Linked DNA regions of Bombyx mori. The protein of the gene in region 1 binds, or shares a complex with, the protein of each later gene. Links are inferred from orthologs where the notes say so. Each region holds a gene or a part of one and is shown on either strand. Other genes may lie near its edges.

Region 1 (4,296 bases):
AAGGTCTTTGTTACTAGTTCATAAAATCCCTTAAAAAAATATTTAAATATCATATCTATGGCATAAACTTCTCGGGATCCTCCAAAAAGTCCACTGAAAAAATCTCAGTAAATGACCGCCATTTTACTGAGATCTCATTTCATTTCATGCCATGTTTCATAGATTAATCAACTTCAATTCATTTCATAGTATCATATTTCATAAAATAAAAAATACATATAAAAGATTACGCTGTGTGGTATGATACCTGTGCCTTTCCATTTGGAAAAATAAAACTACTACTAGCCCCGTGAGCTCACCTACTTCACCAGGTTTGAGCCCCGTGAGCTCACCTACTAAAGTTAGGGTTACGCTGACATAGCCAGGTGAATGAAGTTAGCCCCTCAAAAAAATATTTTTTTCCTATTTTATACTTATTTTCTATTAATTCGTTTGTTCATCATTTGTTCATGATTGTTCACTGTTAATAATTGTTTGTTCTGCATTTATTTATTTAAAAAAAAAAATTAAAAATATACCTACAAGTTAGCCCCTCTAATGCAATTTTTAATATTTTTCATCCTTAATGACTCGTAAATATTCATTTTCGATTGTTCTTATATAAAACACGTTTGTTCTCTTTCGAAGTTACTCGTTTTTTGTTTAATTTACTATTTTTATTAGTTGAATAAATGTATGCAAAATATGTGTACTGCGCATGCGTCAACTATAATGGCTAAACTTTCTACGCGGTTTTAGTCGTGAAAAAAAAACAAATATAAATCCTGAAGGAGCAATTAATTGGTATACAATTTAATTTAAAAAATTAAAAATAAAATAAATATAAATATGTAATAGTCGGATTTTTAATTAGACGAAGCCAGCTGACAGTAGCTAATGTCACTTTGTGAAATAATGTTGCTATATTTAAAGTAATAGTGATGCGTTCAGTTCTCGTTCAATCACATAAATGAACAATGAGTGTGAAGAGTTAATCATTAATTTCAAACTATAAAAGAATATTATTTATATTTTACAATAAAATTGTATTAAAGTGATCCAATATAATAATATGTTACTAGTAGTATGTAACTACAATCAGTTTTTTTTATTTTCATTACCTATGTACCTATAATTGTTATATTTTATACATCTATAGTTTCAACTATATGATGCATTGGAAATAGGACAGTCTTACAAGCTTCCTCGCAATGTTTTTCTTAATGTTTAAAACAGTCGGTATTCAGTACAGGTAGATACCATAGGAACATAATGTTTCGTCGAAAACTCGTTGGTATGTACAAAGCACGGCTAAAATTCGAACCCCGTGCCCGATATCGGCAGTTCGGCACACTAACTATTCACTAGACAATCGAGGCAATTTCATTAATTCAGGAGTTTTTTCAATCGTTCACTTTGTCACAACACTATTTTTATTTCATCAAAAACTGACAACACAGTAAACGTCAGTTTACTTCGTCTAATAAAAAATTAGTCGGATTTTTAATTAGACGAAGCCAGCTGACAGTAGCTAATGTCACTTTGTGAAATAATGTTGCTATATTTAAAGTAATAGTGATGCGTTCAGTTCTCGTTCAATCACATAAATGAACAATGAGTGTGAAGAGTTAATCATTAATTTCAAACTATAAAAGAATATTATTTATATTTTACAATAAAATTGTATTAAAGTGATCCAATATAATAATATGTTACTAGTAGTATGTAACTACAATCAGTTTTTTTTATTTTCATTACCTATGTACCTATAATTGTTATATTTTATACATCTATAGTTTCAACTATATGATGCATTGGAAATAGGACAGTCTTACAAGCTTCCTCGCAATGTTTTTCTTAATGTTTAAAACAGTCGGTATTCAGTACAGGTAGATACCATAGGAACATAATGTTTCGTCGAAAACTCGTTGGTATGTACAAAGCACGGCTAAAATTCGAACCCCGTGCCCGATATCGGCAGTTCGGCACACTAACTATTCACTAGACAATCGAGGCAATTTCATTAATTCAGGAGTTTTTTCAATCGTTCACTTTGTCACAACACTATTTTTATTTCATCAAAAACTGACAACACAGTAAACGTCAGTTTACTTCGTCTAATAAAAAATCCGACTATAGGTACAAACTAGACGTGCGCTAATCATGTTCGGAACTGGATTGAACATGACATCGTTCTTTTGAGTGTCGGAACTAGTTCCAGTAAACATGTTCGCGGAACTGTTTAGTTTCACGAACATGTTAAGTCTAGTAGCTGTTTGTAGTTTGTAGCTGTTTAGTTCCGCGGACATATTAAGTCTAGTAGCTGTTTGAAGCTGTTTAGTTCCGCGGACATGTTAAGTCTAGTAGCTGTTTGTAGTGTAGCGAATCACGTATTAAGTTATTATTAATTACACAATATTTTTCAAAAAAGGTATTAAAAATACAATTTTTTAAAAGCACTATATAAAAATAGATTGCCGCTTATGGCAATTATTATTGTAATTATTATTTTGTAAGGTTTTTAGTTTTAGGTTCATTGTTACAGCTGGTTGCATAATTTATTAATGTACTGTAATTACTTTGTCATAATTTCAACTACTCTACTACTTTCATTATTTTTCAATGTAGGTATTGTACGATGCACCGGAAACTATAACCTATCAGTTGTTAATTAAAATACCACGTTATTCTGATATACAACGTAAATTAAGCTCGTTGTAGCCTTACAACCTTTTTCCCATAACCGAGATACCGAATAGCGAAAGTGGTGAATGTTTTAAAATTCTCGAATTTTGAATTATGATTTTCTAAGAAATGGTCCACAAACACTTAAGGTTAAGTGCTCGTAGGAATGATGCATGGTCAAGGTCAAAATCCATAGCAAAACATTTTAATTTATTCAACTATCGACTGTAACACGTAGGTCGTAGAGCATAACTTCAATATTAATAAAAATGTAATATGAAAGAGCTCCACACGCAGTTTCATGCACTCGCTCCATCTCACTCTCTCGTATTCGTGCCATATGTCGCCTTATCTCTTTACGTGGACTCGTGTCGTTTCGAGACTCGTTCGGGTGGACTCGCCGCGCCACGCCTCCGCGCCGCGCGGTACCTATGCTCTAATCATGTCCGCATGTCCGTCATGTTCAACGCGTTCGTAGTTCCTGCATAACAGTACACTTGGAATGGAAATGGAACTGTCTGAACATGTTAATTTTGACAACTCGGATTGAATGATATAGTTCCATATGAGGACATAGTTCCAGGAACTATTTAGGTCCGGAACTACGCATGTCTAGTACAAACCTTATTAACTCCATGGTACAAACCAATTCATTTTTCATAATAGTAAAAATTAAAATGTTGTTTAGTTTGAAAAAAAAGGTTTTTTTCATATTTAATGAATATTAGTTGTTTTAACTTTGATAATCAAGGGCCTCAGCATCATAAATTTGTTGTTTGTTTAAAGCTGTACGTGTACCTTTTCCGATTAATCTTTATTTCCGTGTAAACACGAATAAAAACACATAGTTATAAGCAGTAGCAATTGTTTTGATCAAATCTAATAAATATTATATTTTATAGAAGTTGAGTGCAACTTAATATACAACCATGCCTAGTCAGTATGAGGAAGAACGTGTATGGGATGGTCAGAATCATAATAATCAATATGAAGTAAGTTAATAATTTAATTGGTGCTAATAGGTATTTTTTTTAATATAGTGACTTATTACAATTTTAAAGTAAATACATTTTATGAATATAAACTGATTTTAAAAACTCATCATTTGTTTAATAAATCTGATGCTGAACAATATTTATATTATTCCATAAAAAACAAATTCTGTTAATTAAAACTTAGAAAAAAACAAGATTTATGTTTTGTTTCCCTGACTACCTAATTCTCTTACATCTATATATCCATTATCTGTTTTAAAAGTAGCATTTTATCTTTTTACTAATTTAAATGAATATTTATATTATTTTACCAATCCTTGTCATACCATTGAAGAGTGGTTAATATGATTAAAATAAAAGTTACAACCTGAACAAATGTAATTAATCCTTAGCCAAACAGAGTAACATTAAGAACACAAACTGAAACCTTAACACGAACTGAGAACAGGCAATTCATAATTTCATTGATGTTATTAATCAAAATAAGTACTTACAAATAATTACTCCAACGCATTTTGTTGTGATATGTAGTTTGATTTATTAAACTGGTAAATAACATTTATTAGGAAGAAGGAAATGAAGATGTTATTGAGAACCCTGAAGAGGTATTAAATGAATGTCTGGAAAAATTTAAAAC
Region 2 (3,892 bases), on another chromosome or scaffold:
TTCTATGTCAATTCGAAGTACCTATTACAATACAACAGCAATTTCATACTTTAACCCCTATTATATTAGTTACCTACATAATTACCAGCACTATCATATTTATATTAATTGTACGAGTAATAGATCTTTGCCTATGAAATTGCCGTTTTATAATATTGCCGGGACACGTAAATAGTAATTATGGAAAACGAGTTTCGTCGCGGCATCAATGCCGCAGAAACGCCTCACAACATTAATGACGTGTATAGAGTGAACACTGGAGACGAACGCACGGTTTGGTGTTGGTTTAAATGCTTCTGTCAGGGAAATTTTGGTCTCCCTTTGGTCAACCTTAAAAACAAAATTATTGCCCTTTTATGCAGACATTCTAATGGACCCCCTTTGTAACCATCGCTCATGGACGAAAGCAATGCCAGAACCACAGACAATCAACTGACTGCTGACTTATAAATCTAAGAAAAGACAATAATTTTGTTTGGAATGTTTTGCAAGAAAACATGTTTTAAATTGTTTTAATATTTATATAATTTATATAATGTCTATAACTTAAAAGTAAATAATGAACAATGAATATTTGCTACATATGATATGGTGCTGGCGTGCGTACACTCATTAACGGGGAGTCCAGATATTCCATTTCAGTTGCACTCGGACCGGGTTCTGTTTGCGCATTTAATTTCTGTTGTAAAGTCTCATATAATTTATGTACAGATTCATTATGCTGAGTTCCAGGCTGCAGCGCTTTCATAAGAGTTTGAATTCTAGTCTCTGGTAATTTTGGATGAATATACCACAGCAATTTCAATAAGTGTCTTGTCACATTATCCTTAGATAGTCCAGCAAAGAAGAATTCATCAAATAATACAGTACTAAAATCTTCTCCTTGGAACTCATCAGGTAACTGTACTAGAAGTGCCACTAAAGCATGCAAAAATGGGTCTTCATATGCTCTACCATCTTTACAACTACCGAGAATACTAAGAATGCGAAGTAAGGCACCACGGTCACGTAATTTGGCTGCATGCAGTGTGTAGTACATTGCAATAACACCACAAACTGAGCTTTCTCTCATATAGGCTTCACAAGCATCAGGTGGAGGTCCCGAGTGCTCTATCGTAGTGATGGCAGACTCTCTTTCATCTGGAGGTAACTTATTATGTAGTGCTCTCACTTGATCATCCACCATCAATGACATCAAGGCAGGCAAGTATTTTGTGACACATTGACTATCTAATTTTGGCTCTTTGAATTCTTGAGAATCGATCATTACCCAAGCGCTCAACCCTAATGCCAACATTCTTAGCAGTAGTATTAAAACTGTACTATCTCGAGGTAGCCCTTCAGTGTTTATTAAATGTTGTAAAATTTTGATAGCTGACGTTGCTAAGAAATTGATAGCATAAGGGTCGCATAACGTCATAGAAAGATCTCCTAGAACTTGCTCCTGTCCCTTTTTAATACTGTCTAAAAAACCTTGCAGTTCCCTAGATCTTTTAATGTCTACATTCCTTTCCCTGATACAAGCATCCAAACACCATGTGAATTTATGACAAGGGTCTACAGATATGATGTCTTGAACTTCTAGGTCATGCAAGGCCATGAGAAGCTCTGCTCTTAATGTACAATAATGAACATTTCTAGTTCTTAAGAATAATGTTCTCAGGAATTGTAACACCATGTCATATAACTTAACACTAGTACCTATCATGTGGGCAAGTTTCTGAACAACTGCACCTTGTCTCCTTACTTTTGGGGAAGGGGAAAAAAATAGATTTGTAAGATTTTCATGATCAAACAGAACATCTTCTTTCTCCCTGATGTACTGACTGAGGAGTGGAGAAACTTCATCTCCAAACAGTGACTGGTTGTCTTGCCATATTTGACGCTTCACCTCAGTATCTGTGTCATTGTACAGTTCTCTGTCGCGAACTAGTACCCTTAGATACTTATCATCTATATGTGGGATATTTTTAAGAATACCCATTATAACAGGTCTTAAAGCTTTAACTCTGACGACTGGGAAGCTTTTAGATAGCAGTTCTTTGAGTTTTTTGTCATTATCCTTGTTATCTTTATTGCCAAGCTCGTTGATGTGGGCAATGAGTTTTTCACGTAATTCCTCCAGAACTGATGTATGAAAGTCAAGCCGCCGAACGCCATGGAGGTCTAGTAAAGGCAGCATCGGCCTTAAAGAAGGCAATAAAATACCGTTTTCAAGTTGAAACTCTTCAATAGCTTTCAATGGGTCGGTACAGCTTGTCAGAGCATCTCGCAAGAAAGTTTGTCCTGGTACTCCCACTTCTTCTAGACCAGTGCCTGGTAGTTTACTTGACGACGCCATCGATCTTAATTTAATTCAGTTTTTCAGTTCATTTAATAAATCAACACAAATAAATCTTAAATAAAGTTAACAACAACAGAAAATAACATAAATTAGTTTCCTGCTTAGAAATTATTGACAAGCAACTGACATTAAGCATATATTGACGTTTGACATCGAGCAGTAGTTTTATTTTTTTAACTGGAAAGGCAAATATGTCATACCATACGCCTACTCATATATATTCTTATATATGAAAAATGAAAATTTGAAGTGAAATAAAATGAAGTTGGTTAATTAATAACATGGTATGAAATACAATGAGATGAGATGATATGGGATGAAATATAATCTCAGTAAAATGGTGGTTATCTACTAAGGCTTTTTAAGTGGACTTTTTGGAGATCCCGAGAATTTACGTCCAGCGGCTTTGTTTCATTTTCCCACATTTGTGCAATTTCACAGATATTAAACAGCTAATAAACCACCGTTATTACTTTTTTTTTTAAGAGATTTTATGACCTGGTAACTGTGACTTTTAAGTCATGTCTTATTTTAATCTATATTCTTGATTTTATGAAAAATGATATTATGGAGTGAAATGAAATGAAAATGATTAATTTGAGACATTAATCAACTAGGATGAAATTAAATGAGATGATATGAGATGAAATCTAATCTCAGTAAAACGGTGGTCATTTACTAAGATTTTTCAGTGTACTTTTTGGAGGAGCCCGAGAAGTTAAGTCCAGCGTCTTTGTTTCATTTTCCCACATACCGTTATTACACAAGTGAAAACGTTTACAGATTAAAAGCCGTTCAATATTATTTGTAATCTCTTCGTAGTCTGTCATTATCATAATTATTGTGTTTTATTGGCTCAAACGACTCGTTACCAAGCCTTAAATTCTATAAAATTGACAGTGTTTTATCTAAAATCTAAAAGTTTGTATCAATCAAATTACCAATTTAAATGCCTTTCACTTGTGTATAAAAATGGATAAACAGAAAACGTAATTACTGATTGGTTTTCGTCTTAGTTTGAAAGCAATGCAAACAACTGAAATGAATTAATACATACTGCTTTTCAGATTAATATGTGGAGATGTAAATGGGAATTTCAATGCTTTGTTTACGCGCGTAGAATCGATTGTGAAGAAATCTGGACAGTTTGATTTGCTTTTATGTGTTGGAACATTCTTTGGAGATGATAATTCACAACTGGATGCATATAAAATGGGAACGAGGAAAGGTAAAAACGTTGACTTAAAATTTTTAATACGATAGAGATGGGCTCATTAGTTTACGGTCGACCCGGTATGAGATAGTCATTGGAACCTCTACATGTTTCATATTGATAATAATTATACTGTCGCTTATACTACCACGTGAGGATGAAGCATCAACATTATTGAGGCATTGGAATTGGTCAATATTAATTTGGGTGGGTTATGAATACATTTTTTTCTGACTATATATTTTTTTATCAACAATCTCAAATTACAGTTCCAGTGACAACCTATGTTTTTGGTCCATCAAATCCAGACCATGTACATCATTACTGTGAAGAAG

What was found.
Region 2: the proteins of negative elongation factor D (region 1) and negative elongation factor B are in contact, whole or in part, in a crystal structure (PDB 8JJ6), measured with the Homo sapiens proteins. The link is inferred for Bombyx mori from reciprocal best matches to the Homo sapiens genes NELFCD and NELFB. Residues at the interface, in XP_047296144.1 of Homo sapiens: Arg63, Ile66, Met67, Glu68, Pro69, Ile71, Phe72, Leu75, Ile89, Gln90, Leu92, Ser93, Tyr96, Thr97, Ala98, Val99, Ala100, Gln101, Thr102, Val103, Asn104, Leu105, Leu106, Trp109, Leu110, Gln112, Thr113, Gly114, Val115, Gln121; in NP_056271.3 of Homo sapiens: Met49, Leu53, Leu56, Val58, Ala59, Asn60, Gly61, Leu64, Lys65, Leu68, Thr69, Leu75, Ile78, Glu79, Phe81, Gln82, Glu84, Asn85, Gly86, Val87, Leu88, Leu89, Ser91, Leu92, Ser94, Ala95, Leu96, Pro97, Phe98, Leu99.

The regions. Positions count from the first base shown.
Region 1 is NC_085111.1:9,519,531-9,523,826, forward strand, and holds the start of negative elongation factor D, read left to right. Parts: upstream 1-1,496; 5' UTR 1,497-2,118; intron 2,119-2,147; exon of another isoform or gene 2,148-2,410; intron 2,411-2,435; exon of another isoform or gene 2,436-3,452; intron 3,453-3,566; 5' UTR 3,567-3,593; coding exon 3,594-3,656; intron 3,657-4,225; coding exon 4,226-4,296. UniProt on the Homo sapiens protein: Essential component of the NELF complex, a complex that negatively regulates the elongation of transcription by RNA polymerase II.
Region 2 is NC_085125.1:6,339,891-6,343,782, forward strand, and holds negative elongation factor B, read right to left. Parts: upstream 2,497-3,892; 5' UTR 2,342-2,496; coding exon 578-2,341; 3' UTR 501-577; downstream 1-500. Other genes in the region: CWF19-like protein 1, read left to right, coding at 3,317-3,333, 3,412-3,572, 3,827-3,892. UniProt on the Homo sapiens protein: Essential component of the NELF complex, a complex that negatively regulates the elongation of transcription by RNA polymerase II.